Arabidopsis thaliana: one gene and its partners. The protein of the gene in region 1 interacts with the protein of each later gene in a biochemical or structural test. Each region holds a gene or a part of one and is shown on either strand. Other genes may lie near its edges.

Region 1 (8,486 bases):
GCGCTGATTGTGGCGCTTCTGATCCTAAATGGGCGTAAGTCATCGCTTCTAAGCCTCTTTTTCTTCTTCTTATCTTTTGGTAGTTTTGCTGATAAACAACATGTCATTTAGTATATAGCTAATCTTATGCTAATACAATATGTTTGGTTCTGTATGTTCTCTATTCATTTAGGGGTTAATCTCATAGAGTTGAATGTCTCACATTTCTTTACCATAACCGAAAGTTACTTATTCGCATTATGCGATTTGAGCTTCATCTACATGTTCTTGTGTCTTTAGTTATGTATCTTTGTGTTTGTTCTTATATTGAATAATCAGTTAGTAGCTTGTTTTCAGATCAGCAAATATCGGAGTATTCATTTGCTTAAAATGTTGCGGTGTGCACAGGAGCCTCGGCACTCATATTTCAAAGGTGATATATCTTCTTTGCTCTATTACATATTGGTTGTCCATTTGTTGTCTCTTTTCTTCATTACTCAAGACAAAATTAGATCTCTTTCGTTGTGTACTCATTGTTTGGTTTCTCCAGGTTTTGTCTGTGACACTAGATGAATGGTCAGATGAGGAAGTCGATTCCATGATTGAAATTGGAGGAAATGCGTCTGCTAATTCAATTTATGAAGCTTTTTTACCTGACACGTGCTCTAAGCCTGGACCTGATGTTAATCATGACCAGCGTATGAGATTCATTAGGTCAGATTCTAAAACAAAATACTCTGTGACAGGACAAATCTATTGCTGTTGTTTGTATAGTGACTTACTCAAAATCTTTATTTAGGGCAAAATATGAACTGCAAGAGTTTCTGAAACCAAGCTTGCGGATTACATCCGGGAAAGGCTCAACAAAGAGTTCAGCTTTTCTTACATCAAGTCTTTCTAGAAAGATCATGGATAGTTTTCGCACAAATTCATCATCGCAGACGATGGTAAAGCTTCAAACTTGCATAAGTTAACGTTTTCTTTCTTATACCTTTCTTCTTGCATGTTTTGAAATCGGTAAATTTGACAGTTTCAGGAAGGAATGGTAGAGTTTATTGGATTGTTGAAGGTGACTATTAAGAAGGGAACTAACTTAGCAATCAGAGACATGATGTCAAGTGATCCATATGTTGTGTTGAATCTAGGGAAGCAAGTAAGTGATTTGCTTTGCATCTTTTTATTAGCTTTACTTCTTGTTGATGCTGTGAATCTTGAGTAAAATTGTCTTGTTTATTCAGAAACTTCAGACAACTGTTATGAATAGTAATTTGAACCCGGTATGGAATCAAGAACTCATGCTGTCTGTTCCTGAGAGCTATGGCCCTGTGAAATTGGTAAGAGCAAATTCATTTTCTATTGACGATTTCAGTCATTGCCAAAGCTTATATATATATCTTACGGTTTCTTATGTGGTTGCAGCAAGTGTATGATTATGATACATTTTCTGCTGATGACATAATGGGAGAAGCAGATATTGATATACAACCTTTGATAACATCTGCAATGGCTTTTGGGGATCCAGAAATGTTTGGGGATATGCAGATTGGGAAATGGCTAAAATCGCATGATAACCCATTAATAGATGACAGTATCATTAACATTGTTGATGGGAAAGTGAAACAGGAGGTTCAGATCAAGCTTCAGAATGTAGAGTCTGGAGAATTAGAGCTAGAAATGGAATGGCTGCCACTTGACCAATAAGTGTCATATAGGTCTCATAACCTTTATAAATGTACTGATTGATTTAATTCTTTGTTTTTTTTTTTTCTCTCCATTTGTTGGAAATTTTCAAAAATCTCTTTGCATTTTTTTCCTCATTTCAGAGGTAAATGTATTTTGATGTTTGTATAAACCAATGGATTACTATATGATGTTTTGATTGATGGAAAAAGGGTGAAATATCCACTTATGTAACATACACTTTCACTTGTGATCATCAATTTACTTGAGAGTCGTTTCTTCAAAGTTTCAAACTTTCCACAACAGAAACTCTACTTAAGATGATCAAGGCATTGTCAAATGAAATGCTTTGGAAGGAAGAAACTGCCTCTCCTTCGTTAAACCAAGCTCAGTATCTTGCAGTTTCCTCTCATCAGACATATCAATGCTTGGACAAAGGTACGAACCATTTTCTACATTTGTGGGACATTACAGGCATTTCTTAGCAACAACGAATGTTCATCATACTCAGAACCTAAAAGATTAACATGTTCAAGCCATCCTTAGAACCCAACAGCTCAACACTTTCGCTACATCTATTACTAGAGGCCAACAATTGGACTATTTACAAGTTTCGCAGAACTGCACTAAACAGAGTCGAGTCACTTTGCAGGCGTATTAAACAAAAGAAGCACAGATAATAAAAACGAAGCGATGATAAAGAAGAAGTTCGACTTGTCATTAGAAAGAAAGAGATAACAGGAACGGAAACATAGTAGAACACTTATTCATCAGGGATTATACAAGGCCCCAAAACACAAACCACCAAAGTTTTACATGAAACGAAACATTGAACTTCTTAAGCATAACAGAGACGAGATTTAGAAACCACCACGAAGACGCAGGACCAAGTGAAGAGTAGACTCCTTCTGGATGTTGTAGTCGGCCAAAGTACGTCCATCCTCAAGCTGCTTTCCAGCGAAGATGAGACGCTGCTGGTCCGGAGGAATACCTTCCTTGTCCTGGATCTTGGCCTTGACGTTGTCAATGGTGTCGGAGCTTTCCACTTCAAGGGTGATGGTCTTTCCGGTCAAAGTCTTGACGAAGATCTGCATACCTCCACGCAGACGCAACACCAAGTGAAGGGTCGACTCCTTCTGGATGTTGTAATCCGCCAAAGTACGACCATCCTCCAATTGTTTTCCGGCAAAGATCAACCTCTGCTGGTCCGGAGGGATTCCTTCCTTATCCTGGATCTTGGCCTTCACGTTGTCAATGGTGTCAGAGCTCTCTACCTCCAAAGTGATAGTCTTTCCGGTGAGAGTCTTCACGAAGATCTGCATACCTCCACGCAGACGCAAGACCAAGTGAAGTGTGGACTCCTTCTGAATGTTGTAGTCAGCCAAAGTTCTTCCATCTTCAAGTTGCTTTCCGGCGAAGATCAATCTCTGCTGGTCCGGTGGGATACCCTCTTTGTCCTGGATCTTGGCTTTCACGTTATCAATGGTGTCAGAACTCTCCACCTCCAAAGTGATGGTCTTTCCGGTGAGAGTCTTCACGAAGATCTGCATACCTCCACGCAGACGCAAGACCAAGTGGAGTGTGGACTCCTTCTGAATGTTGTAGTCGGCCAAAGTTCTGCCATCTTCAAGTTGTTTTCCGGCGAAGATCAATCTCTGCTGGTCCGGAGGAATACCCTCTTTGTCTTGGATCTTGGCTTTCACGTTATCAATGGTGTCAGAACTCTCCACCTCCAAAGTGATAGTTTTCCCAGTCAACGTCTTAACGAAAATCTGCATACCACCACGGAGCCTGAGAACAAGATGAAGGGTGGACTCCTTCTGGATATTGTAGTCAGCAAGAGTTCTGCCATCCTCCAACTGCTTTCCGGCGAAGATCAGCCTCTGCTGGTCCGGAGGAATACCCTCTTTGTCTTGGATCTTGGCCTTGACGTTGTCGATGGTGTCAGAACTCTCCACCTCAAGAGTAATCGTCTTTCCCGTTAGGGTTTTAACGAAAATCTGCATACCACCACGGAGCCTGAGGACCAAGTGGAGGGTGGATTCCTTCTGGATATTGTAATCAGCCAACGTACGGCCATCCTCTAGCTGCTTGCCGGCGAAAATAAGCCTCTGCTGATCCGGAGGAATGCCCTCCTTATCCTGGATCTTGGCCTTAACGTTGTCGATGGTGTCGGAGCTTTCCACCTCGAGGGTGATTGTCTTTCCGGTGAGAGTCTTAACAAAGATCTGCATCTGTTAATCAGAAAAACTCAGATTAATCGACAAATTCGATCGCACAAACTAGAAACTAACACCAGATCTAGATAGAAATCACAAATCGAAGAGTAATTATTCGACAAAACTCAAATTATTTGAACAAATCGGATGATATCTATGAAACCCTAATCGAGAATTAAGATGATATCTAACGATCAAACCCAGAAAATCGTCTTCGATCTAAGATTAACAGAATCTAAACCAAAGAACATATACGAAATTGGGATCGAACGAAAACAAAATCGAAGATTTTGAGAGAATAAGGAACACAGAAATTTACCTTGATCACGGTAGAGAGAATTGAGAGAAAGTTTTTAAGATTTTGAGAAATTGAAATCTGAATTGTGAAGAAGAAGAGCTCTTTGGGTATTGTTTTATAGAAGAAGAAGAAGAAAAGACGAGGACGACTAGGTCACGAGAAAGCTAAGGCGGTGAAGCAATAGCTAATAATAAAATGACACGTGTATTGAGCGTTGTTTACACGCAAAGTTGTTTTTGGCTAATTGCCTTATTTTTAGGTTGAGGAAAAGTATTTGTGCTTTGAGTTGATAAACACGACTCGTGTGTGCCGGCTGCAACCACTTTGACGCCGTTTATTACTGACTCGTCGACAACCACAATTTCTAACGGTCGTCATAAGATCCAGCCGTTGAGATTTAACGATCGTTACGATTTATATTTTTTTAGCATTATCGTTTTATTTTTTAAATATACGGTGGAGCTGAAAATTGGCAATAATTGAACCGTGGGTCCCACTGCATTGAAGCGTATTTCGTATTTTCTAGAATTCTTCGTGCTTTATTTCTTTTCCTTTTTGTTTTTTTTTGCCATTTATCTAATGCAAGTGGGCTTATAAAATCAGTGAATTTCTTGGAAAAGTAACTTCTTTATCGTATAACATATTGTGAAATTATCCATTTCTTTTAATTTTTTAGTGTTATTGGATATTTTTGTATGATTATTGATTTGCATAGGATAATGACTTTTGTATCAAGTTGGTGAACAAGTCTCGTTAAAAAAGGCAAGTGGTTTGGTGACTCGATTTATTCTTGTTATTTAATTCATATATCAATGGATCTTATTTGGGGCCTGGTCCATATTTAACACTCGTGTTCAGTCCAATGACCAATAATATTTTTTCATTAATAACAATGTAACAAGAATGATACACAAAACATTCTTTGAATAAGTTCGCTATGAAGAAGGGAACTTATCCGGTCCTAGATCATCAGTTCATACAAACCTCCATAGAGTTCAACATCTTAAACAAGAATATCCTGATCTGAAGAATGTGGAGGCTTTAGTCCCTTGGATACTTGGGAGGCTGTGGAAGAACAGAAACGAGCTGGTGCTTAAAGGGAGGGAATTTGGAACCAATGAGGTATTAGTAAGGACACAAGAAGATGCAGATGAGTGGATTAGAAGGAAAGAGGCTCAGAATGTAAGGAAAGCACCAACCACAACACCGTCGGGACAGACGAGAAACATGGGAAGCTCCACCACAATCTTGGGTTAAGTGCAACTTTGATGGGGCATGGCCAACAGAAGGATTAAAATGTGGCTTAGGGTGGGTGCTTCGCGATCATACAGGGAAGGTGTTATGGTTAGGTGCAAGAGCTGTGGTAAAAGTAAGAAGCGTGCTGGAAGTAGAAGTGGAGGCTCTTAGATGGGCTGTGCTGTCATTATCCCGATTCAATTATAGGAAGATCATTTTTGAGGTGGATTCTCAGCAACTTGTGTCTTTGGTTACATGAAAGTTATGCTTGTCAAGTCTCAATCCAATTATCCAAGACATAAAGTATCTACTTAGCAAGTTTGAGGATTTTATGCTTGTGCATACAAGCCGAGAAGGAAATGGAGTGGCAGATAGAATAGCTAAGGAATCTCTTTCTTTTGAGAATTATGATCTAAAGTTGTATTCTATTGTACCAATTTGGGTTAAAAGCTCTGTTGAGCTAGACTGTGTATCCATAAATGGGTGAATGGAAAGTTTGTTGTTGAGCCAAAAAAAAAAAAAAAAAAATCATCAGTTCATCATATTGGTAGTCTTGTTTGATAAGTTCTGCTTTTTTTACCTTCCAGTTTTGCCATTTGATGTTGCAATGAGATTTCTTTTGCTAATGTTTTAAAATAACAAAGTTGTTGCTGCTAGTGTTTCCAAGTTGTGTTTGCTGAAATTAGGGTTTGTAACTTATAAGAGAAGCTTGATCGCTGCTTTCGACTAAAGGGAATTCAATAACAACAAGTTTACTTGAAGAAAAATATTAAAACCTAGAAGAAAAGAGTTACACCTACAAATAGGATAAAATCCACATAAATTTCTGTTACTAAATGTATCATAGTTTTGTTTCTTCTATGTATCTACATATACTCAAAAATTTCAAAGCATTGTGACTTAAGGGCCAGAAGAAAACTTGAAGAAAGATTAAAACCTATTAGCAAAGAGTTAAAGATCCACATAACTTTCTGTTGCTGAATGTATCATAGTTTTTGGTTTCTTCTGTGTCATATATACAGACTTTCTACAGAACTTTTTGAGCACAAAGCATTGTGACTTTAGAGCCACGAGTAAAAGACGAGGCAAAATGTGTATCACGTCCACTAACCATATAAACTGTTTCGGCTGGAAGAACACGGTTCCACTCGAATGACTGATCTTCGTTCAATACTCTCTCTTTCTTTCTGTCCACAAAGAAATATCCTTCGTGAGGCATTCTTATATGACCCCTCCGACCACTTTCAACCAACTCGGTTCTCAGTATTTTCACTTGATCCGTCGAGTTCACATCCACCTCAATAAATCTCTTCAGACCTTTACACTCACTTGAAGCTGCCACCACATATACTTTAATCTTCTTCTTCGGGTCAGTGATCTCTTTGACTGAGTTTGACGCTGGAGATTGCTCCATTTGAGGCACTTGAACCGTCACAGACGAATCTTGAATCTTACTGGTCTCTTGGATAACACGTCTGGGAACAATCACAATTGTATCCAAGGGTTTAACACTGTTACACTCGTATGACTGATCTTCGTTCAATACTTGATTATTGTGCGTAAAGATGTACCCTTCTTGAGCCAGTTTCATAAGACCTCTCAGTGTTTTCACCTCATCCGTAACTTTCACTTGCACCAGAATATTCGTTGGGACTTCATTCATACCAGGATATGGCGACACATATACTAGCATCTGCCGGACTCTTTTTTTTCCGTTAGTGATCTTTTTGACTAAGTTTGACTGTGGAAATTGCTTCGTTGGAGGCACTTGATCGTTGTTGTTCTTACTCGCAAACTTCACAGACGAATCTTGAATGTTAACGGTCTCTTTGACTGAGTTTGACGGTGGAGATTCCTCTGTTTGATGCGCATCTTGAATCTTACTGATGTCTTGGGTTGTCTCAGGCCGATAACTGTAAATCTTTCTGATCTCTTCCTCTGTCAAAGGCCAATCTTGCTCCGCAAAGTACTCTTCAACTGAAATCCACGGTGCTGGAGGAGATTGCTCTGTTTGCGGGATTTGATCGTCGTTGTTGTGAATAGGGTTCACGTCAGGAGAGACTTCGAGTTGGATTTGAGAATCGTGGAAGATCTGGCATTGGTCGAGGTTAAGATCTTCTCGAAGAATAAAAATGCCGTCGACGATAAGGGTTTGTTTCGAAACTGGGACACGTTGAGACTTCTCGATCTTCTGTTTGACCACTAACAATGTATCTGTGCGTTCCACTTCAATCTCGAACGATGAACCACCCAGAATCTCGACCACAAACTTCATGACTCTATCAATGGTGTTTCAAGATCAATGGAGACTAATGAAGAAGAGAGTCAAGAAACAGAGAGAGCGAGAGAGAAAGTGATTGTTTTGTAAAGATAGTTCACGATAGAATTTGGTTTTAATATCATTCATTCACATATCAAATGAACCGCATTTGGGCTTGACCCATTTTTATTGGGTTACGTGGCTCTTAAGTCAATGAAAGCCTCACATAAAATCATCAGTATCTATGCTACAGTATATTCTTACTTATATTATCCAACGGTAATGTTATAAAAAGATTGATTAAAACTATCTAGATCCGACCCATTAAACCGTAAATCTACAAATCCGACCCATTAAAGATTCTTGCCGGAGACGAAAGGTATTCCGATTGAGGAGATGGGTCAAGTGTGGAGGTCACACTGGTATTGGTCAAGGTTTGTAGAGGATGGGAGTATGGGAATGCGCTTGAGATGGGGAAGAGCAGTAATTAAGCCGGAACGAAGCATGTTTGATTTATCATTGTTTTTTTAATGAGAGTTTTAAGAAAAAGAAAAAAAAAGATTTGTAAATGTCGTAGAGGAAAAACTGTACTAGCCTAGATATATATATTAGTGTTTATATAAGGGTAAATTGCAGGCCACACCCGTTGACCATGTTTTATTTCCATGGATTGTTAAAGTCAAATGTGGTTTTCACCATTTGTCTTTTCGCCTGCAAAATGACGTTTCTGCCCTTGCGCTTCTCTCTTAGTAACTGTTGAAATGTACGGTTTAGTTTAGCAGGTTTAGTTACGTACACTGTTCCGATTCAGTTG
Region 2 (8,202 bases), on another chromosome or scaffold:
TTGCTTTCTCGGTAAAACGCTCAAACATTGCTTTGGGTACACATCGGCTAGCTTTTTCTCTCCCAGATGATTTTGCAAGTTTATACTTAACAAGGAAACCTGGACTAGGCCTTCCCAAATAATCTAATGCACTGGGGGCCCTTAACCCTGAGAAGCTCTGAATTGTCAGAAGAGGTGCTTGTAAACTGGACATCATCTTCACACGCCCTCTTGGTTCTCTGTATTCTGTGGCCTGAATTCTCAGAACAGGTGCTTTTAAACTGCTCATCTTCATCACACACCCTCTTGGTTCCCTGTATTCTTTGGCCTGCACATGCCTTCCGGGACCAAAAAAAGGAGGTGTAAGAAGAGCTATCGACCAAGCCATGATGCAATGTTGGAGGCTGCATTGGGTAATGGTAGAACATCAGTATTGCTAATTCTCTTAAACACGTATACAGAAAGAGCTCAGGCACAAAAATACACAATTTCAATTCACCAACTAAGAGCAGAACAATGTCACAAAAGCTTGAGCTATGTTTCTTATCTCCAAACTCTCCAAAGCAAAACAAGCAATCATCTTTGAACAAATCGAAACGCGAATACACAACCCTAATCTCAAAGTAAGCATTTTTGCATATCAATAAAACCAAATAAAGAGTACCCAGATTCAGAAAACTCAAAATGAAACCACCAAAAGAAACGAAACCAAACGCCATGAGAAATAGAAGAAAAGAAAAACTCAACCTTTAAAACAGCTCACACAACAGAGAAGCAGAAACCTAAAAGCTTCTTCAATGAAACACAACAACAACAAATGAAAAATAAAAACAGACTGAGAAAGAGAGTGAGTGTAGCAAAGAAAAGGGTTTTATGTGTAGCAAAGAAAAGGGTTTTATACCGTCGACGCCTTTGGATAGCGAAGTTGGAGAAAGCGAGAGACTCCTTTTATTGGGAAAGAGATAGGAAAGTGAAGAAGAAGATACCCAAGAGACAAGAGATTTCTCTATTCTCTCTCTCTTTATCTTCTCTCGCATCGCCGCCCTTCATAGATTAAACACACTCACCTACCAAAGTTGCATACCAGCCGTTAGATTACTCATAAGTGTATTCCACCGTCGGATTTAACTACTTTTTAAAGAGTCAACCTCAATAAGAATCTTGTTCCCAAAGATAAGGGTTTGTGTTGAGTTTAAGACCGGTTTAATCTGAAAACTCCGTCAAACCAAAACCAAACCGATTTATCATAAAAAAATTCATATCATCTACTTCCATTGGCTAGAGACAGATTGTAACGGTGTCGTCGTCGCCAAACGATTTGCCTCTTCCTAAAGGTAGGTTCTTCATTTCTCTCAGTGCCCCTTTGCGTGTTTCAGCTTCTTCTTTATGATCTAATTCATGTCTATGTTTCGTTTGATTCTTTGTTCAATTCTGAATTGAGAAAATGGCGATTCGAGATCTGTCTCTTCGGTTTTTTAGTTCGACTGATTTGGGAATGTGAAGAGATCAGATTGATTTGTTGACAGAGTCTTGGGGGTTTTCAATCTTATTCCTCTAGATTTTCGAAATTCGATTCCTTTACATCAGATTTCGCTTAATTCTCTGTCCTAGTGAGTTTTACGATCTTTAGTCTTCTGGTTTGTCAAATTCTATGTCTTTTCATGTTCTTCTGAGTTTTAATGGTTGATCTTCAATTACTTGGCCACAATCTCTAGAGTTTGAGACTCTTGACTTGTCTTGCATATATTCCTCTGTAGATTGGTTTTATGTTTGGTTTCAATTCCTTGTTGAACTATTCTGATACGGAAGTTTTCCTTTCTAAGGTTTGGTGTTTCCTTTTTCTGATAAATAGTGATGAAGATCGATTATGATGATCATGTAAGAATATAATCTAGCTTTGGTGTTTGTATTGGTTTACCTGAGGGAAGAAAAGTCTTTCTCTTTGGGACTTTAAACTTTGATTACTTAACTCCAACATTATCATAGTTGGGTTCTGTAGTTCATTTCACTTATAGCAGTAATAACTCATTGATTGATGCAATCAATCAATCCTGTGATGGAAATGGAATCATGGAAATTGAGGGATTCAGGGAGGATTGATTGATTAGAATTTCATATTTATGAGAGAATAAGAGAACTGATGTGTGTTTCTTTTCCTACTTCTTAAAGTTGTGCTCTTTCCTATTTCTATAAGCTCTTGTGGATAACAACAGTTGATTAACGTTCTTATGCTTGTTTAGGGTACAACAAGAATGGAAGAAGAGTATGAGAGTCGTCGATTGAGGAGATGGGAAGAGTTGGACACTGACATCTTAGTAAGAATTTTCCAGAAGTTTAGCGTCTTTGAGTTGACTTCGGGATTAGCTCATGTTTGTAGAGGATGGAGAGCTGCTTGTTGCGATCCGATTCTTTGGAAGACGGTGGATTTGTCAAACATGAGATCTAGTTTCATCAAGATCCCATTAGAGCCTTATGTCTATGTGGAACGCCGATCTGATGAGGCCCTAACCCGCATCCTGAAACTCTCCATGAACCTTAGCGGAGGAAGCACGAGGACCTTGATTTTTCATTTCAACTTGTTCTTGAGTGATGATCAGCTTACTTACACCGCAGAAAGGTATGTCCTTTTCGTTCTTCCACTTATTTGTCTTCCAAATTGTTTCATCATGGCCGTAAACTATGGTTTTTTAGTCAAAAGTTGGTTCAGTTTTTGGTTTGGTTAAGTTCATGTACCCACTTTCAGTCAAAATTGCTGAATTACAATTAAGCTGAATCTCGCAAATGCTAAAAGTTGAAAAATTTGTTGTACTGAATATTTTGCAGGTGTCCAGGGTTGAGACGGGTCGTCCTACCGGCTTGGAACAGAATAAAGAAGACTGGTATATGCAAAGCGATAAGAATCTGGAAAGATCTAGAGTCACTAACAATGCCAAGCATCGCAAACCCGCCTTATCTCTTAACAGAAATTGCCAAGAACTGCAAGAATTTTAAAGAGCTGAAGATCATGGGTCCATTCGAGGTCTTCTTTGCAAACACGCTCATCACTTGCCTCCCAAACATCAAAACACTCAGCATCAGATGCTCGGCGATAAAGCGGGAAGCACTGATGAAAATCCTTGACGGATTACCAAGCCTTGAAGTGCTCAACATATCACACTCTCACCTAGTGGAGTACAGCGGTTGGCAGCCTCAGCAGAAGGTGATTGTTAGAGAGCTCGATAAGACGATAATGGAGAAAACAGCAAGGCTAAAGAAATTCTTGACTTGCATGGATCACAAGACGTGTGTGATGTGTCAGAGGACTGAAAACGATGAAGGGATTGTGAGATGGTACAAGTATGAGGAAGGAGACTGGAAGGTTGATGAAGTGAGTTCTCTTCATCTTTGATGTTTCTGCTGTGATCATTCTCTGTGAAGGACTTAACTTGTTATTGTTCTCATCTTTGACTGTTGAATTGTTTATTTCTTTGTGTTGTTTGTTTTGATTTGAATCGTATTATGTGTATATATCTGTAGGCTATGCCAATGAATGTCTGTAGTGATCAACTTTTGATCACCACCAACCTTGCACACCAAATAGGAAAATAAAACAATATTGTTACAATTATTTGTCTTGATATTAGCATTATTAGTCACATTTGTTTTGCAAATCATCTACCTTTTTTTTTTGGTCTATATCTTATTCTTCTTAGTTCTTACCTACCAGTCTTCTCCGGCGGCATTAACGACACCGTTTTATCGAGCTCAGCCACCACTAGTTAGGTAACGATATATATTCTTAAAAACGTTTAGAAAATTTCTATGTATGTTTCACACGAACAAAAAGAAAATATTTTTCAGACATCAACGGTCATTATGGACGACGACTGTTAAACAAAATCGTTTAAAATTCTTGTTGCGTAATTTGACCATTTTATTTTATTTTATACCAAAAATTGAAGATATTATATATATGTTTTAATTCGATCGCAAATAAATCTGAAAATTAAAACACAAAACGTTACTCTTCTCTCTCATTCTCTTTCGCTTCTCGATAGCTTCTCAAATCATGGTTCAGCAAATATGGGAGACGTTGAAGGAAACAATCACAGCTTACACTGGACTTTCTCCAGCTGCGTTTTTCACCGTACTTGCTCTCGCTTTCGCCGTTTACCAAGTCGTCTCCGGTTTCTTCGTTTCTCCTGAAGTTCACCGACCTCGTTCTTTGGAGGTTCAGCCTCAATCGGAGCCTCTTCCACCGCCGGTTCAGCTCGGAGAAATCACTGAGGAGGAGCTTAAGCTTTATGATGGCTCCGATTCTAAAAAGCCCCTTCTTATGGCGATCAAGGGCCAGATCTATGATGTTTCTCAGAGCAGGTATTTCTTGTGAAATCTTTACTTGTTCATTAAATTATGATTGAATCCAAATGATCACTAGTTAAATTACCAGTAATAAACGATTCAACCCAATAGTTTCGAGATTTGGGGTTTAGGTTAGTTAATCATGGTTGACTGTTTGATTTATAATCCGAAGTTTCCAATTACTATCTATCTTATGATTCTAGTATATCTACTGATGCTCGAACTCTAGTTTAAGTGATTCTTTATTGTAAAACTGAACACTTTTAGTAAATCTTTTTGATGAATATTCTCTCCTTTTTGTTCATAATCTTATGATGCTCTTTTTATTGCTTTTTGCATCTTAGTGTTTGTTTTTTCACTTCTTTTCTTGGAACAATACCATTAGAAGCACTGATACAATTGTATTGTATTCAAGTTATCGGAAAGATCTCTACTTTTTCTTATACTAGAAAAACCTGTATTTAGATTACATCTTGGATTAGTAGAGATTGATAACGTACAAACTCGTCAAAGGTTTGGCTTCTAATATTGCTATTGTGGCGAAAGAGATCGTTCACTGATTAATTATCCACATTTGCTTGCTATTTGTGTTCCATGACGTTTGTAAATTAAGTTTTGGCGAACATTGTTGGTATGTAACCATGCTGCAGTTGTCTAGATCCCTGACTTGTCAACTAGACAGTTCTTTTACATTCCAGTTACCGAAAACTTCGTTGTGGTAATTAGGTTTTGTGCTAGATGAAATAATCACTTCAGTGATCATACCGTTTTGCTTGTTCATAGTGGCGACAGACACAGACACACTCATCAACGCATATACATGTCGATGTATATGTATGCATAACTTTTAGTTTTTTTCTTGTACATAGTTCATCAGCTGTACTACATATCTAGATGAATCATATTCATATGTGCCAAGCTGTAGTTTTTCATTCTTCAAACTCTACTTAACTCTTACTGGTCGCTAATTTGCATGACCATCTGTTCTTTTTATGCAGGATGTTTTATGGACCAGGTGGGCCATATGCTCTGTTTGCAGGGAAAGATGCAAGCCGAGCTCTGGCAAAGATGTCATTTGAGGACCAAGACTTGACTGGAGACATCTCAGGTCTCGGTGCATTTGAGCTAGAGGCGTTACAAGACTGGGAGTACAAGTTCATGAGCAAGTATGTCAAAGTCGGAACCATTCAAAAGAAGGATGGAGAAGGCAAAGAAAGTTCAGAACCTTCCGAAGCAAAGACTGCCTCTGCGGAAGGTCTTTCTACAAACACTGGAGAAGAAGCTTCAGCAATTACCCATGATGAAACTTCTAGAAGCACAGGCGAGAAAATCGCGGAAACCACGGAGAAGAAAGATGTTGCAACTGATGATGATGATGCTGCAAAGGAGTAAAGTCAATGTAATGAGAGGCACAGTTTCTCTTGAGAAATTAGTGAGATTTTTCAGGGTTTAAGTATGAGTCGTATATAGCTCAATAAAAATGGTGACCTTGTGTGTACTTTTTGGATCTTGTATAATGACATCTAATTCTGGTTATGGAAGCTTCAAAATACATTATTTCTACAGTATTAATCGATAAACAGTTCTATAATTCAGGGTTTGTTCACTTGTTGTTTATGCTTAGTTCATATTTGACATCCTGCTATGTGCCTGGTAATTGAAGATGGTTCAATTCCTAAAATCGAAGCACCAACTTACATTTGATGGTAGGTCTGTTGCCGAACCGAAGTGAAGAATTTGCAATAATTTTGGTTTCGGTTTGGAACCTTCAAACCGACCGGTTTCGAATTATTATTGAACCAAATTTTCAAAATTCAAATATCTTGTCAAATCATTTTCTTCCCTCTTTCTGTCTCTGTCTCTCTCTCTCGCTCGATCTCGAAGGTGAAGCTATGGGAGTGAAGTATCTTTGGGATGTCTTGGAGCCTTGTAAGAAGACTTTCCCACTCGATCATCTTCAGTGAGTTGTTTCTTCGTCTCAATTTCTCTTTAATTTTTCTGGGTGTTTAAAAAGACCAAGTCTTTACGAGATCTTCGTAATCGCTGTAGAAACAAAAGGGTATGCGTGGATCTTTCGTGTTGGATGGTGGAATTGCATAAAGTGAACAAATCTTATTGCGCCACTAAAGAAAAAGTTTATCTTCGAGGATTTTTTCATCGTCTCCGAGCCCTAATTGCCCTAAACTGCTCCATCATTTTAGTCTCAGGTAATTTAATTCTACCCTACTGTTGAAAATTGCCATCAGAAGAGCCAATTAGGGTTTATGTAGTGTTGTATTGTTGTCATTGTGAATTGATTTGAGTAATAGAAGCATGAGTGGTCAAATCAGTTCTTATTTATTGATGCTTTGCTCTAAAGTTTAGTTTTTTCAATGCTATTGAGCATACTTGACTTGTTGGAATGTGGCATGTAATTGTAGATGGTGCAATTCCTGGAATCAAAGTACCAACTTACAAGCGTCGGTTAAAAGCAAGATTCGAGGTACAATGATGTCAAATGTGGCACTTGTGGTTTCATCCTTGCATATGATGGCTAGTTTTTGGATTGTTTTTTTCGATTTCGTGCTATATTGGTTCAGCCAGATCGCTGACGATGGTGTTGAGCCTAGCAAAGAGACTTCACTCAAAAGAAATATGGGGTCTGAGTTCTCGTGCATCATAAAAGAGGCGAAAGTTATTGCATCAACACTAGGGATACTTTGTTTAGACGGGTAGGGCTTCAAGACAGTTAGCTTAGATTGACAATGAGACTTTGGTTTGAGTGTTTAACTTTGCTTATGAGACTTTGGTTTGAATGTTTAACTTTGCTTATGAGAAACTGATTCTGTTCTGTATTTTCCATCAAATGCAGGATTGAGGAGGCTGAGGCGCAATGCGCTCTGCTAAACTCGGAATCCTTATGTGTAAGACGCATTTTTCAGCTTTAATCAGTTTCTTGTTCGTCATGCTGTTAACCCAATATTCAATGATCATCCATAGGACGCCTGTTTTAGCTTTGATTCGGATATCTTCCTTTTTGGTGCAAAGACTGTATACAGAGAAATATGCCTTGGTCAGTGGAAAGAGACTCTTTAGTGTGTTGGTTTCTTTTACCGTCTGATATGGTTAATAGTATTATAAGTCCTAATAAATTTGCCAATGAACTAGGTGAAGGAGGTTATGTTGTTTGCTACGAGATGGATGACATCAAGAAAAAGCTTGGGCTTGGACGGAACTCATTGGTAAATTAACAAACCTCTTTAAGTGATTAGCTTTATATACTTAACCCTGATCTTTCGTTTCTATAAAGCTGCACCACGTTATTATAAAATGATTAGATTGGTAGAAGCATGAATGCAATGCTTGCAAAAGGTGGCCTTTGATATTTTATAAACTCAGGTGAGATAGATACTATGTGTATGAATGGTTCTACTGCAACGTTGTAGCTTTAAGGGCTCAATTCCTTTGTTAGCATCAGTAGACAAGAAAACCAGCTACACATTGTTGAGTGTTGACTATTATTCCATGCGTCAAAGAACTTTAAAATCTTAGCTATGTTTCATCAAATGGTAAGGTCATGTATACAATGTTTTCTTGGGTGATGTTACAGATAGCTCTAGCGCTTTTGCTTGGCAGTGACTACTCTCAGGGAGTTCGTGGTCTTCGACAGGTGTGTAGATAACTCAAGCTTTTAAACCTCCATCTATCGGGGTCATATGTTATTCGAGGTTGTCTGTTTTATTTAGAATTGGATTACAAAAGACTCACGATTAAACTTCTTCTGTGTACAGGAGAAAGCTTGTGAGCTTGTTAGGTCGATTGGAGACAATGTTATCCTTGAAAAAGTTGCATCAGAAGGACTTTCCTTTGCGGAAAAGCCGAGAAAGTCTAAGAAGCAAGTTA
Region 3 (8,233 bases), on another chromosome or scaffold:
CAGTTCATATACTATCAGTGGTGATTTCAGCGTCTTCTTGTCTTTAGAAGGCTTCCTGCCTACTGCTTTACCGATATTTTGTATTCCCACTGCCGAATCTGCACTCACACGATTGTTGCTTGTTGCAGCAGCAGCATGTGGTTTCTGAGAGGATTGTTCATTACAGCTTTGGGCTACTTCCTTGTTGAGCGGTATTTCCGTCTTTTTTGATCCGCTGGTAGTAACATGATTCACAGGTTGCTTGCACTTTCCGGCTCTGCCATCATCAGGAGGTATTCTTTGTTGTACTTTGGTTCTCGTCTTAAATTCAGGCGTCAGTTCATCATCAGGAGGTACTATTCGTTGAACTTTGGTTCTTGACTTCAGTTCGGGCGTCAGTTCATCATCAGGAGGTAATATTCGTTGAACTTTGGTTCTTGTCTTCAGTTCAAGCGTCGGTTCATCATCAGGAGGTACTATTCGTTGAATTTTGGTTCTTGTCTTCAGTTCAGGCGTCGGTTCATCATCAGGCGGTACTACTCGTTGAACTTTGGTTCTTGTCTTCAGTTCAGGCGTCGGTTCATCATCAAGCGGTACTATTCGTTGAACTTTGGCTCTTGTCTTCAGTTCAGGCGTTGGTTCAAGCTCAATACCAGCTAACCGTTTTGATGTTCGTCGGGCTACACTATTACTTAGCTCATTCTTCTTCTCTTCAACTTTACTCCTTGTGATCCGTTTCTCAGAAGAATCTTGTTCCTCTTCTTCCTTCATAACAGCTTCCTTCTTTGGTTTTTGTGACCTTACACTGGAGTTTACAGAATCTACAAATATAGAGAACATAGAAAAAATTGGTGTCCTCAAATCTTTTTGTTATCTCAGCCACTACTCAGGTGGAAATATTAAGTCAGGTATCTGCACACCTTTTTCTGATTTTGCATTTGATGAAGACAGATTTCTTTTTAAATCTACGACGACTTCCTCAGTCGTACTGGCTTTAGTTTGGCTTCTAGTAACCCGTTTCGCTATGAGCTGCTTTTCGATAGGATCTTTCACCTCTTCCTTCTTCCCCAAATCCTCAAGAACTTGTGAGGTTACAATGCTCAAGTCAGAAGTCATTTTACCTGCATATATAATCGAATGTTGACACTTACTTAACGTAACTCACGGCATAAGTATGATTATACCCTGGCAAGTGGCAAAATCAGAACCCAAAAGACTTTGTACTTACAATTCTTGGAATGTTCATCAGAAGAAGATAAGTTTCTCCGTTTACTTCTTCTGACATCATCTATCGTTTTCTCTTTTTCCAATACATCATCTGCAGATCTCTTGTCCACATACTCCAGACGAAGCTAAAATCAGACAGAGAAAAGTTAAGAGTTAAAAGATTAACAGAAAATTCAATCATTCAGCTATAGTGCTTTCCATTAAACTAACTATAACAAAAAAGGAGAAAGGAACTCACAACAGTCTTTCCATTTCCGGAATCATCATCTTCGATATCACTTTCTTTCAATTTACGTGCATAATGTCCAATATTGCCAGTCTCAACATACCGTGATGCGTCTTTGAAGGATTGAAAGATATACTCACTTTTAGGGTCAATGAAGAACTGCAAAATCAAAAACAAGACATGTCCAAGAAGAATCACATAAGAGATTTTCTAAAGTGAGCTTATGTGGAAAAGACACAAAATGTACTTTTGATCAAAGATGATGTTATCACAAAGAGAGTAGAGGGTACAAACTGGATCTCTTCTGGTTTTACGGCCTGATCTATTTGTTATTTCAAGTTTCTTGATCCATCCTTCAGGTAAACCTTGAGCAGCAGATTTCTCAACTATAACCTGTATCACTTAAACATAAAGAGTTTTTCATTTTAAGAGACGTATAAATGTCAAATCTTTTTAGGGATCACAAAGAACAAAGTAACATTGTCTTCAAACATATAAACAACACAAAACTCTCAGATATTCTGTGCTTATGAACTTTCCATGAACAACCTAATACCAGACCCTTGCCAATATAAATGTGATTCATCTCAAAACTTTCCCTTTGCATACGCGAGAGGTACAAAGTTTTAGTGCTTACGAATATTACAGTATTCTCTCGAAGATGGTTACTTAACAATCCAAATTCATTTTCACAAGATCTATTACTCTTAATGTCTAACCATCTCAGTAAAGTAACCATATAATTCCTTTTCACACGAAGTAAACTAAGAGACAAACTTTTAAAAATTCAAGAAAAACTTAAAAAAAATAAACATCTCCAATCATGCACACAAGTAATAAGAGCTTTCTAAGCCACAGTGGAACCAAGTAAAATCAATTGAGTTCAAAATGTAGCTACATAACAAAGCTTTGATCAAACTACATCATCTATAACAAAACAAAAAGTCAGGTCAAGACCATTTTCAGACACTTAATCAACTAGACCTCTTCTCTTTTGATCACATGTCATCTTTCCCTAAAAGCTAAGCATTGCATGCAAGAGAAAATCACTCAAACGTCACAAAAGACTTCACCTTTTTCCATCATTACAAAATCATACAATCAGAAACTAAGAGTGAATCAAAGTATTTGGCACTTCAATAAAGATAACTACAATTTCCACAAAAGGAGCTAACAAGAACCAAACATGCAAAAGACAATCAAAATTAAGAAAAGGGTTTAAAACTCATAAATCACCTTATCCTTTCTCCCATTCTTCCTCACTCTAATTTCCACTTTCCTCTCAGCCGACAAACCATCAGAGATCCCTTCTCCGTTCATCTCTCCGGTCACCGTAAAACCACTTTCCTCTCTCTCTTGTATCCCTGATTCACAACTCAGAATGGTTTATCAACTCAAAACGCCAAAACCCATCAAGAATTGTCGGATTCAGATAATGGACACCGTCGGAAGTTATAAAGAAGGAACCTTTTTATTTTGTCTGATTGTGTGATTTGGTTCTGTCTCCACTAAGGTAAATAAGAAAAATAGTAGGATTTAATGGGGAAGAAGAAGAAAGGGTTTACACGTGTAGTGTGGAGGAGTTTCAATGGAGATTCCCCGATTTGAGAGGTTCAAGAAAACTCAGTCCACCAGCACGCGAGTCTTCTGGCCCAACGCTTCTCTTCTCTGATTGCAATTTAGCTCATTTTCTCCATTTTATTCTCTTGTACTGTTTGTTGTTTACTTCCATTGTTATTGTCCCAATTTTAAAAAAACTTACACTGTATATTAAAAAACATTTGCTTGATTTGGTTATAAAATCTAATTGCAAATCTATTTATGATGATATTTTTTGGGAAACATTTAAGACTTTGTTATCATTTTTTGACCCAAAAGAAAAAAAAAATGTTATTATTGTAAATGTTAGGATTGGAAGATTTATCATGAGAAGAAAAGTGAAAAATACTAATATAGTCAATTATGAATTTTCATAAATCTGAATTAAATATAATTTATTTTTACTTAATATATAGTTTTAATTACTTTTTGTTTAAATTTATGTTATTAAATTTGGTATTTGTATATCATGTTTAAAAGATTTAGAAGTATGATTTTATTCTATTTCTAGTGATTTAATTATTGAAACTTTGATTTTTAAAAAAGTTTATGTATTAATAAATTATTTGGATTGAAGGTTATATCAATGTTATAAAATGTGTTTTAAAATCTGAAAAGTGGTTGATTTTTTCTTTTTAAATTCTGCATCCACGAAACTTATTTTTCTTAAAACTTATTTTTCTTTTCGAGGTTATGATTCTTTTTAGTTTTTTTTATCAAATTTCATGATGAAAATAACTGAATTGAACATCAAAGATTTTCAGAAAATACTCTACTGCTTTTTTCTTAACTATATTCTAGCCATTTACATATCTAAGCTTGATGTCTTTTCTATTTCGTCGAAAATCTATCTATTTTACGGCAGAGACTTGAAACCCGAATTTTGACATATCAAAAACACTAACACAATCCCATGTACTACATTATCATTTGTATTTTACTTATAGAAGAAAATAACTTTTTATTTAAAAATTGTATGGTAAAAATAAAGATTAGTTCCCTAATAACTATATAAAAAATCTTATTCGGTCGTTTTAGCTGTATTTAACTTTTAAACCCAAGAAAGAAAAAAATCAATCAACCAAGGAAGTAGTACAACAACAAGAGTCAAAACCCAACAACTCTCTATCTAGCACAAAAGCCTGACTTTTACAAAGACAAGCCTTTTCAACACACTACTGATCTTGAGAATCCTCTCTTCAAAGCCATGGCGTTAGAACTATGGCAAACTCTCAAAGAAGCAATCCATGCTTACACAGGTCTTTCTCCTGTTGTCTTCTTCACTGCTCTAGCTCTCGCCTTCGCCATTTACCAAGTCATCTCAGGCTGGTTTGCCTCGCCGTTCGATGATGTTAACCGACATCAGAGAGCTAGATCCTTGGCTCAAGAGGAGGAGCCACCGATTCCTCAGCCTGTTCAAGTCGGTGAGATCACGGAGGAGGAGCTTAAACAGTACGATGGCTCTGATCCTCAAAAGCCCCTTCTTATGGCTATCAAACATCAGATCTATGATGTTACACAAAGCAGGTGAAATTTCTGAATCTAAAAAGCGAAATTAGGTTATGGGTTTGATTCATTGTTTCCTCTAATCTTGTTTTAGCGTATAAAGACTTGGACTTTGCATACTTTTATGATCTATAAAGCTGTGAGAATCGTAAAGTTGTTCACTTTGAGAATCAATTTCACAAAGGAGTTTTGTTTTGAGAATCAATTTCAGAAAAGCACATTGGAAAAGTTGATCCTTTTTGTTACTTTTATACAAGAGAAAGATTCAAAGGAATATGTTTTTGTTGTTGATGTTTGCTAGTGATTGAGATCATGTTGTGAAATATCTTAGCTCTATCTTCGAGTATAATCAATCTCTTAGACTGGTTTTAGTGTCTCAAGTGTTGTGTTTGTAATGAAAGGTTGGATTTTTATTGTCTTCCTCAAATCTCGTTTTACTCTATAACAACTTGGACTTTGCATAGTTTTATCTATGAAGCTGTGATATCCATAAAGTTGTTCACTTTGAGAATCAATTTCACAAAAGTTGTGCTTTTCTATGTAATCGAGCTTTTGAGTGGCATAGTGTTAATTTACCCTTTTGCTTCCTTCATACAAGAACAGGATTCAAAGGAAGTTGTAATATGTTCTTGTTGTTAATGTCTGCTTGTGGTTGAGATCTTTAGTGAAAACTCTTTGTTAATCTTTGAGTATAATGAATTGATCATCTTCTTATGATAGTCTAGTCTGGTTTTTGCGTATTTAAATTAAATGTTGTGTTTGTGATGAAAGGTTTGATATTTATTGGTTTTGTAGGATGTTCTACGGACCAGGAGGACCATATGCTTTGTTTGCAGGGAAAGACGCTAGCCGAGCTCTTGCAAAGATGTCATTTGAGGAGAAAGACTTGACTTGGGATGTCTCTGGTCTTGGTCCCTTTGAGCTAGATGCTCTTCAAGATTGGGAGTACAAGTTCATGAGCAAGTATGCTAAGGTTGGTACTGTCAAAGTGGCTGGTTCAGAACCTGAAACCGCATCTGTCTCTGAACCCACAGAGAATGTTGAGCAAGATGCTCATGTAACCACAACGCCTGGGAAGACCGTTGTTGATAAGAGTGATGATGCTCCTGCTGAGACTGTGTTGAAGAAGGAGGAGTAGAGCCCATTTCCAAGATTTGCTCTGATTTGTCATAGAGACCAGTTTTATGAAAAGGATTGTAGAATCTCTAATGTTGAAGTGTCAATGATAATCTTGTTTTACTTTCCCAAAAAATAAAGATTGCTGATTAATGATAAGAAAAAAATGTTTTATAAACTGCATATCAGAAGGCGTTGCATTGCATGATTACAATGTAGTCGAGTTCATACTTGTGGTTTGTGAATCTGCATGATTAATCTGGAAACTAAAACATTAAACCTGATCCTTTTTTTGTAAATTCTCTTCATCCTTTTGGTTACTACTATAGGAAGTTTTTAAGTTGGTCACTAAATCCATATCAATTGGGAAATAGAGTATTCAATTGTGATCCTCGATGTTTAAGAATTGGGGCAAAGAAGACAGTTGACCACGTTCTTCTGAGTGTTCCTTGCATTGCAGATATGTGCGCTCGATCTCCTCAGCACTATGGAAATTTCGGTGTCGTCGGTATTTGCAAATTTGGATATTCTTTTCTTGGAACAACCTGGCTCTTCAAAAGATTTAACCTTTCCATGGATTATTTGATACATTGGAAGGCACGTAATGATAAGGTTTTTAATGATACATTTGAGAAACTGCACAGCTGCAAGAACATAAGACAAGTACCTTTGAACAACGGTCTTTATTACAAAAACTGGAGTTTGAAGTCACAAATTAATGTTTTATAAAATAGTTCATTTTTTTTGGTAAACATGTGAAGATTTTATAGATAGTTGATGGAAGGAGACTCGATATGTTTTCAAATATAGGTTGGATCGGTTTTCATAACGACATAGAAGGATCTCTTTTTAGAGTTAGGAATCTATGCATAAGCCTTTCTCCTATGATCAAGCATCAAAGTACATCGGTAACTATCTCAATGGACTGTTCAAAGCTAAAAGAAAATTGACAACTTCCTGAACATTTTAGCCAATTTTCTCAACATATTTGGAATGGTTTGCAAGACTCAAATATTTGCTCTCTTCTGGCTTTCTGTTATTCTTGTAATTAGAATTGTCTTGCTAACTTGTTAGCTAGCATGTTGTTCACCACTACATTTTCATTATTTTAAGTATGTAAGACCTATAGTTCTATATACACCATCGATTTGGATTACCGAACCATTTTGATATATGTGTATGTATTTCAGTCGACAAAAAAAAAAAACTTCTAAGATCAGTTTAAACTGAATTTTGGTTATCGCCTTCTCTGCGATCATGGATTGGGTTGGACCTAGACATATGGGCTTAAGATACGTTTTACAAGCTGTCATGATGAATACAATTATTGTCTTAAGTGTCACGAGATATTGAAATCGTCAAAATAAGCCAAACATGCACCAAGATATCAACGCACATGTAGTTATTATATAGCAATAGTATTCTAAACGTAATGAACCGTCGATGTATCGACGTGTACTTTTTGCATTCACTTTCTTTTGTCTTCAAAAATAAAATGAAAATCAGAAATAAAGAGGTGTAATATTATCCACGTAGGAGTTGAGATCTACGACGACCAAACTAATCGTTAGGAAAGGTTTCAAAATTTGAGGTTCTTATCCAACCAACGCTAACGTAATGCTAATCTCGTGTTTCCATTTCTTCTTCCTTTAATGCGATGTCTCTCTGCACCCAATAATTAAAAAAAAAGTTTCTTTACATTTTTTCTTCTAAGAGAATTTTTTTGGCAAGTTGGTGACATGGTGTACTTCCCATACTTATCCATATCCCATTGCTCTAACTTTTTGTTGCTAAAAGCTAACTTAAGGAGTGATGAAGATTATAACTCATAATCAATCTAAAAGATAGACTCTTAACCATTTCTAATCACCACAATGTTCAAAGATCATATTTGGAGCTAGTGGTTATTTAGCCATGTGCATGGTCTTATTTTGATAGATTACCTTTTTGGATTGTTTGAACAAAAACATAAATACATGTAGCTAATTTCGATATATTAATTACTTTTCTAGTTGGAACCATTCGGAGAACAGCAAGTACCAATAACGTGAATGCATTTCCATTTAATATCACACAAAAGAAAAGTTCCATGTATCATGAATTTAGCAAATTCCATTTATAAATATTTGGCTTAACTAAAATTATATACATGGTTTCTTCTACATCTAGTAAAAAAAAAAGATAGATAAACCATGATACCTATGTATATGTATTTATATTAAATTTAAATATACCCCACATTTTTTGTTTTCGTCAACAAACAAACCACTTTATAGCTTATATATACACATCACACACACATATGAATGTGATGTTAATATAGTTTCGTGTGGACCTAACTAAAACTAGTCGTAACTCATTCATGGAGGCTTTGTTCTGCTCTGAGATACCCAACAACAACATCAGATCTTCCATTAACGATCTATCTTCTTCTTCTTCATATACATGGCCAATGATCATGACCTCCTCTTCTTCTTCTTCTTCATCTCCCACAATCATGAACATAGAGAACATTCCTAGATGCGACTGGGATCTCTCTCTTTCCGCCGTTGTTTCCTCCGCATCCACCGGATCAGACGC
Region 4 (6,759 bases), on another chromosome or scaffold:
ATTATTGTGATAGTGCATTCAAAAGTATAAAATATTGTGTAAATTCTACCAAATTTTTATTAAATATTGTCTAATATTCTATAAAATATTGCAAATACTTCCTCCTCTTTGCCTTGACTCTTCACGACACTTGTAAAATATTGCAAATACTTCAAAAGATAGAGAGATGTTCAATTCTCTCATTCATTCTGTTATTGCAATTCTTGTTATCTCAATAAACATAAGAGGTTGAGCTTAATTAACCCAAGAAGATTTGATTTATTTTCTTGTGAGTCACTTTGAAAATTCATACCCCGGTTTCAGCGTCTTGGCACATCTGTGAAGGGAAATACTTACTGGCTTGCTTCTAGTCGACAAATAGGTGTTATCTTACTATGTTTTGATTTTTCAACAGAGAGATTCCAGAGTGTGTCTCTTCCCGAGGATGTTCCTCGTTCTTATTGTTTTTTTAGTCAAACTGATTTCATAGATATAGAAATGATTTAGTCTCCATTACAAGAGTAAAACACATCACTAAAAACAGAAAGAACTGCAAATACAAACGCATTATAAGAGAATAATGCAAAAAACAAGGGGATAAACCGGAGGTGAAGGAAGCTTAAAACAAGCAGAATTCTCCCTAGCTCAACGGTGACTTCGAGTAACTTGAAAGATTTTACACTGAACTGGGAGTCCATGAACAATTGCAAAACCAAAGAGTCTTCATTCCACGCCAACAAGAGGGCGTTATTCAATGATAAGGCAGTCTTCGCTACAATATCTTCTGCTACCAACGTGTAGGTGCTAGAACGATAAGCGACAGAAATGTCTCGCAAGGGAACTTCAAGGGTTTTAGAAGATAGCATGTCCAAACAAGATGCAACAGCAAATCCACAAACACCAAAGAAGCTTTCATTCCCTGCAAATAAAGATTTCCCAACAACAGGGGAACTTGATAGAACATAGATCTCCATAAAGGAGTAACAATGGCAAACAAAGCACAACCACAAACAAAGCATACAATTAGTATCCTTGTGAAGACCAAAAGCAATTGTGAACAAGCGAGAATCACAATTCCAACTCCATGAGTTAGCTGAACATTTACCCATCTCAACTTTAGAGAACCTACAAATCATATAGACATGAAAGAAGGAACTAAAGGAGGCATAGGAGCCATAGGAAAACCTAATAGCTTCAGGAAAAAGGCTGCATACTGCAGTAATAGGTCGCACTATGGCGATAGAAGTGTCACCGGAAGACACACGGATCTAGAAGGTTTATCATAGAAAACACTTGCATATAATTTATAATAAGCCTCAATGACGAGGGAAAGGAGATGGAGGATCCAACAAACAAGGAATACCATGAGGGAGACGATGGAAAATCGCTACAACAACGAGGAGGAGGCTCTGGAGGTACCGGATCTGGAGGCACCGGAGGCTTGGGAGGATCCAGCGATACCCGAAAGAACAGCATCCGGAGGTGAGCGGTGTTCACAGTCCAAACGGAGGAGCTCGACGACGGGAGAGTTGAGAACGAAGCAACCATCAGAGCTGAATTACTAGCCAAAGACTACTCGCAGGCGACAACGGGTTCCGACGAACGACGAGGATCTGACCCGAGAAGGAAGAGCAGAGCGGCTTCAGAAGGAAGAGGATAATTGAGCGGCGGAGCAGCGGCGGCGGAGGTCCATCTTGTCTTGGAGCATGGAGGGGCGGCTTCCTCGGAGATCGTGCCCGGGAGAGAAGACCTAGGGCGAACTCTCTTTGGTTAATATTTAAGATCGCCTCGTTCTTATTGTTTTGCGACTTTGTCAATGACTAGAGAAGCGCAACAACTTTGTATATTTGCTGCTCAGAGCTCTGAGGTATGGATAGCGAATAAGATGGAGAGTACGAAGCCATTTCATAGAGCAAGTTCCTGACAGTGTCGAAATTTGATGACCGCTATCATTTAGGGTTATGTTTTGGGTTGAGTTTCTTAGTCGACATAGAGAACAAAGTTGTAGTGTCTTGTAATCACCCCGGGTTCTCCAACAACGTTTTACAAATTGTGGGAAAGGATAAATACCTACCTGAGGATCAACATGGTGCCGAATCTCCTACCCCTCCACGTCTCCTCATTTATGTTCTAGGTTTGGTTCAAATCCAGCAAGGTAGCTAGTTCTTGGAGGTGGTGGTTTGTGCATTTTTTTATTTAAAATGTCAAAATAATATCTAAGTTAGGATGCCTCTCTCTTGATAAACAAGCATAGCTATAGGCCACAGCCACTACACACGACACAAGTCAACTCGAGCCAAGAACAACTCTACCCATGAACAGCTCTCCCTCAAACCTAAGACTTGGCGTTAAAGCAACATATTAGTCGCAAGAACGCCATGCCGAACAGGGCCGAAGTCATACAAGTGATGATAATAATTTAGACCGGGAGAAGTAAGAAAGAATCAAAGAAGACACACATTAGCTTCTATGAATTCTGAATGTTCATCATAACTATATTCTTCCAAATCTCATAACGCAAAAGACTAAAATTAACAACAACTTGGAACTTGTAAGATAATTTACACCGAATCCAAAACTACCAGTAAGTTTGGTGTTGCTCAGATTTCAGAAACCATCAGTTTTTCTTTCACCAGACACAATTAGCTCCAAGTATTTGCAAGATATGAAAGACACAAACCAATCTTTATATCCTCTCATCAAATACATATGAGACTTAAAACTCCTAAAATCCTAATCATCACAACAAAGTAACCTTTTTTTTTTGGTAAGCACAACAAAGTAACCTTAAGATCAGAATATGAAGACCACTGAGAACACGAAATCCCCGATTTATTTCATAGATAATTTGGTACTTATGGTAATTGTATCAAAACGATCAGATCCAAACACGAAATCAGAAAACACACAACACAAAGATCCTCACACACAATAGTTACATAACATAGTGCAATCTCAGAAGAGAGACCTAAGAGACAACACGGCCAACGACAGGATACTTAGCTTCAAATTTGGTCTCCCAATCATTAAGAGTATTGATCTCTTTCTCAGTGAGACCTTCAAGAGAAGGAGACACATCTTCTTCGTTCTTACTCATCTTACCCAAAGCTCTGCTCGCGTCTTTTCCGGCGAACATCGAGTAATCGCCTCCGGAGCCGTAGAAGGATTTTCCGGTGGTGACATCGAACACACGGCCTTTGATTGCGACGTAGATCGGCTTTGATTCGTCGGTGCCGTTGTATTGGCTTAGCTGCTCTGCGGTGAATTCCATCTTTTTCTTTAAAGCTCTGATCAATTGTTTCTGGAAAGAACCAAATAAAAGATAGTGAGAGATATATAACAGAGGATTTTTTTAAAAAAATTATAACTGAATAACTTTTTTTTAATAAGTGGAACAACTTTTTTTGTGTCGGTAATAAGTGGAGTAAACTTTATTCTTCAGATTTTTACAAGGAATATCAAAAAATATTTTATTTTTCTCTAATTAAAGTCGATAAAAATTCCAGAAATGCTTAATCTTTCAAGGAGCTTAATTTAAGCTGCTTAAACAACTTCGTCGGGTTTAAAGGACGGCTTTGGGAAAAGACAATTTAATTTGAACTAATTCCTAAGATAGAACACATTTGTATGTTTATTCCTACAGTAGAACACATCTTTTTTTTATTACTCAGATGTTTTCAGTTATTGTGTAATTACAATTAACACCCCTAATTAGTTTTAATTAATTATTATTATTTAATTCGTTTTTAACTAAAAATTAAATGAAAAAACAGTGATTATACATGTCATTATTCCATGTCATTACCATAATCCACGTCATTAATTATCTCCAAACTCCATAACGTTTGGGTTTCTTATTTCTTAGCTTTACTGTTCATCATCTCCCAAAAAAAAAAAAAACTGTCGCTTTCTTCCACTTTCTCTCTCGACGGAACGAAATCGATTTCTTTCGCCGTTTTGCTCTTTTCTCGTCTGTTCCGGCCGAAATTCAGACGCCGGAGTCGCATTTACGTAAGCGCGAAGTCACATTCGACATCTAAGTTCCGGTGAGTATCTTTCAATGAAGTAAGACTCTGACATCTAAGTTCAATCTCAAGTGATTCCCGTCACTGAAATCGTTTTCCGATGCGTAACGATGGTTTTTAAAGCTGGGTTTTAACGTCGACGTTGATTGACATATGGTGGCCGATTTCTTAGATCTATTTGATTTGACGGCTGAGTTACTGTTTGTTTGCCGACTGATTTATGATTTATCAATTCATCCGTGTCTGAGTTTTTTTTATGCTGTGACTGAGTTATGGTTTAACCTTACATCGATGTCTGAGTTTCTGTTATATGACGGCTGAGTTTGTTTATGTTATGGCTGAGTTTCTGTTTTGATATAGCTGAGTCTGGTTTATGTTTTAACTGAGCTGTTGTTATGTTATGGTTTGACTGAGTTTCTGTTAAAATATGGCTGAGTTAGATTTATCTTATGGCTGAGTTATGTTATGTGTGGCTGAGATAGGTTTATGTTATGACTGAGTTATGTTATCTATGGCTGAGATAGGTTTATGTTATGACTGAGTTATGTTATCTATGGCTGAGTTAGATTTATGTTTTGCCTGAGTTATGGTATCTGTGGATGAGTTTGTTTTATGTTATGACTGAGTTATGGAATGCTTACGGCTGATTTATGGTTATACAGATGTCTGAAGACCAAGCAAGGGAGTACCCTCCAAGACTTTACCAAGAGGGGGATTCTAATCTGGAGGGTAAAGGCATTAATCATAATATAAAGCTGGGAGAGTTCCCTGCAATTAGAGAATCAATAGGAGAAGAAATATGGGCAGAACTGAAAGAGACAGAGCTTGGATTAATTGCTAAGCTTGTTGATAGTCATTTTCTCTGGTCTGGTAAGACCGTACATTATCTACTATGCAGACAGCTGAGAATACTGAAGAAGGAGCTTTGGTGTATCGTGGCTGGTAAACCCATCCGGTTTGGATTGAACGAATTTCATCATATCACTGGTTTAAATATAGATGATCTGCCTACAGAAAAGTTTGAGCCTGAAGCTGACTACAAAGCGTTCTTCAGTGAATTGCGTGTGCCAACCGGTGAAGGTCCTAATCTAGATGAACTTAGGCAGGGCTTAGTAACGTGCAGAGCTTGGCCTACTGAAAAACGTAGATGGTTTGGGTTATTGACTCTTCTATCCATTGGACTTTTTGGCTTGCATACTAACTCTAGGATACCATTTGAGAGTGCCAAAAGAGTTTTCGACGACGAAGCCATGAAGACTTATCCATGGGGTCGGGCAGCATATGAAGCCCTTGTCGTTTCTATAAAGTTGCTGAGGCCTATTGGCAAGACGTACACTGTCAGTGGTCTGGTTTTCGTGTTGCAGGCTTGGGCGTATGAGTCAATCATCACCATCGCTGAGCGTTTTGGGAACGCTGTTAACGCGGATGAGATTCCGTTGCTTAGATGGGGTGGCAGCCGTACCCGTTCAACTATAGAATCGGTCATTGCTGAAGATATCAAAGCGAATGGTGGTGAGGTACGGTTTCGGCTCTGTTATGTTCTGTTTTTTATCAAATATTTATGTTACGGCTGAGTTAATGTTTTATTTTTCTCTGTGAAGGCTGAGTTATATTCTTTTTTTTTGGCAAATATGTTATGTGACGACTGAATTATGTTCTATAATGGCTGAGTTATATTAAGTGACGACTGAGTTATATTAAGTGATGGCTGAGTTAAACATACTGATGGGTTTTATTATCTCTCCTGTTGTAGCTGCGTGTTCGTACAATGGTTGAAAAGGCTGAGTTAAGCGAGCTGTTTCATTTTTGGCCAGACCAATTAGAAGACCCAGCACTTGATAACTTGATCCAAGACTTACACGAGGTTAAGCTTGTTAAAGGTTATTGGGATGTGAAGACGAGTGAGAAGAAGAAGAAACTCTTAAAAGATAAAGAAGCGGAGGTGTCTGAATCTCCCGCTAAGAAACAGAAGGTCTCTCACGGTGAGCATGTTGATTCTCTTGAGAAAGATGCAGAAAAGAAGAAGAAGGAGAAGAAGAAGAAGAAGGAAGTAGCTGTCGAATCTGATGAGGACGAGGATGTTCGTTCTCGTGAGCAGGATGGTCAGGGAGACCAGCAGTCGCTCGTGGATGTGGTGTCCAACTTGATCTCTCCCTTAAACTCTCGATTTGACACCGTTGATACTAGCATAAAAGAAATGTCCTCCCGTCTGGATGTGATTGGATGTCAAATCGAATCGAGTGTTGAAGCAAAGTTTGAAGGAAGGTTTGGATCGATTGAGAACGACGTCAAACAGATTAAAGAGCAGCTGAAGGCCATAGCTGATTCAAAATCAAGCAGCTATATTAGAGATATGTTTTTATCCAAACCACAGCCCCAAACGCAGGAAGACAATCGTAAGGCCCAAACTCAAAAGACACCAGACGTTCCAAAGAAAATTACAAATAACCAATCTGCTGCTCCTAGTCCTCCTCCGGTAAACTTTTAGTTAGTTATGATCGAGTTAATATCTGATTATTATTCGGCTGCGTTTTAAATTTTAGTTAGTTATGGCTGAGTTATCAATATTATACGGCTGAGTTATCTGAATATTTTACGGCTGAGTTATATAAATATTTTACGGCTGAGTTATAAACGCTGGTTAGTTATGGCTGAGTTGTTTTCATGTTATAAATTTAGTTAGTTAGTTATGGCTGAGTTATATGAATATTATACGGCTGAGTTAAAAATTTAATTAGGCATGGCTGAGTTTAGT

What was found.
Region 2: the proteins of UBQ10 (region 1) and MAPR3 form a complex in vitro, tested with the Arabidopsis thaliana proteins (one study listed by BioGRID).
Region 3: the proteins of UBQ10 (region 1) and MSBP1 form a complex in vitro, tested with the Arabidopsis thaliana proteins (one study listed by BioGRID).
Region 4: the proteins of UBQ10 (region 1) and MAPR2 form a complex in vitro, tested with the Arabidopsis thaliana proteins (one study listed by BioGRID).

The regions. Positions count from the first base shown.
Region 1 is NC_003075.7:2,713,966-2,722,451, reverse strand, and holds UBQ10 (polyubiquitin 10), read right to left. Parts: upstream 4,476-8,486; 5' UTR 4,198-4,475; intron 3,910-4,197; exon of another isoform or gene 3,894-3,909; coding exon 2,520-3,893; 3' UTR 2,144-2,519; downstream 1-2,143. Other genes in the region: AGD13 (ARF-GAP domain 13), read left to right, coding at 1-34, 337-412, 530-693, 779-926, 1,010-1,132, 1,218-1,313, 1,399-1,680; AT4G05310 (Ubiquitin-like superfamily protein), read right to left, coding at 6,440-7,687. UniProt on the Arabidopsis thaliana protein: Ubiquitin exists either covalently attached to another protein, or free (unanchored).
Region 2 is NC_003074.8:18,125,642-18,133,843, forward strand, and holds MAPR3 (membrane-associated progesterone binding protein 3), read left to right. Parts: upstream 1-3,810; 5' UTR 3,811-4,027; coding exon 4,028-4,335; intron 4,336-5,318; coding exon 5,319-5,712; 3' UTR 5,713-5,951; downstream 5,952-8,202. Other genes in the region: HSP93-III (Clp ATPase), read right to left, coding at 1-367; AT3G48880 (RNI-like superfamily protein), read left to right, coding at 2,232-2,596, 2,803-3,367; AT3G48900 (single-stranded DNA endonuclease family protein), read left to right, coding at 6,213-6,280, 6,370-6,527, 6,741-6,802, 6,904-7,031, 7,172-7,223, 7,300-7,372, 7,468-7,541, 7,910-7,969 and 1 more.
Region 3 is NC_003076.8:21,208,883-21,217,115, forward strand, and holds MSBP1 (membrane steroid binding protein 1), read left to right. Parts: upstream 1-4,057; 5' UTR 4,058-4,238; coding exon 4,239-4,558; intron 4,559-5,332; coding exon 5,333-5,675; 3' UTR 5,676-5,729; coding exon of another isoform or gene 5,730-5,737; 3' UTR 5,738-5,960; downstream 5,961-8,233. Other genes in the region: MBD13 (methyl-CPG-binding domain protein 13), read right to left, coding at 1-800, 900-1,100, 1,208-1,331, 1,445-1,591, 1,727-1,825, 2,669-2,752; RUP1 (Transducin/WD40 repeat-like superfamily protein), read left to right, coding at 8,016-8,233. UniProt on the Arabidopsis thaliana protein: MSBP1 can bind to multiple steroid compounds with different affinities. Negatively regulates cell elongation and brassinosteroid signaling. May act as a coreceptor with BAK1 and enhances its endocytosis.
Region 4 is NC_003071.7:10,605,938-10,612,696, reverse strand, and holds MAPR2 (membrane-associated progesterone binding protein 2), read right to left. Parts: upstream 3,281-6,759; 5' UTR 3,251-3,280; coding exon 2,948-3,250; 3' UTR 2,797-2,947; downstream 1-2,796. Other genes in the region: AT2G24945 (uncharacterized protein), read right to left, coding at 483-1,115.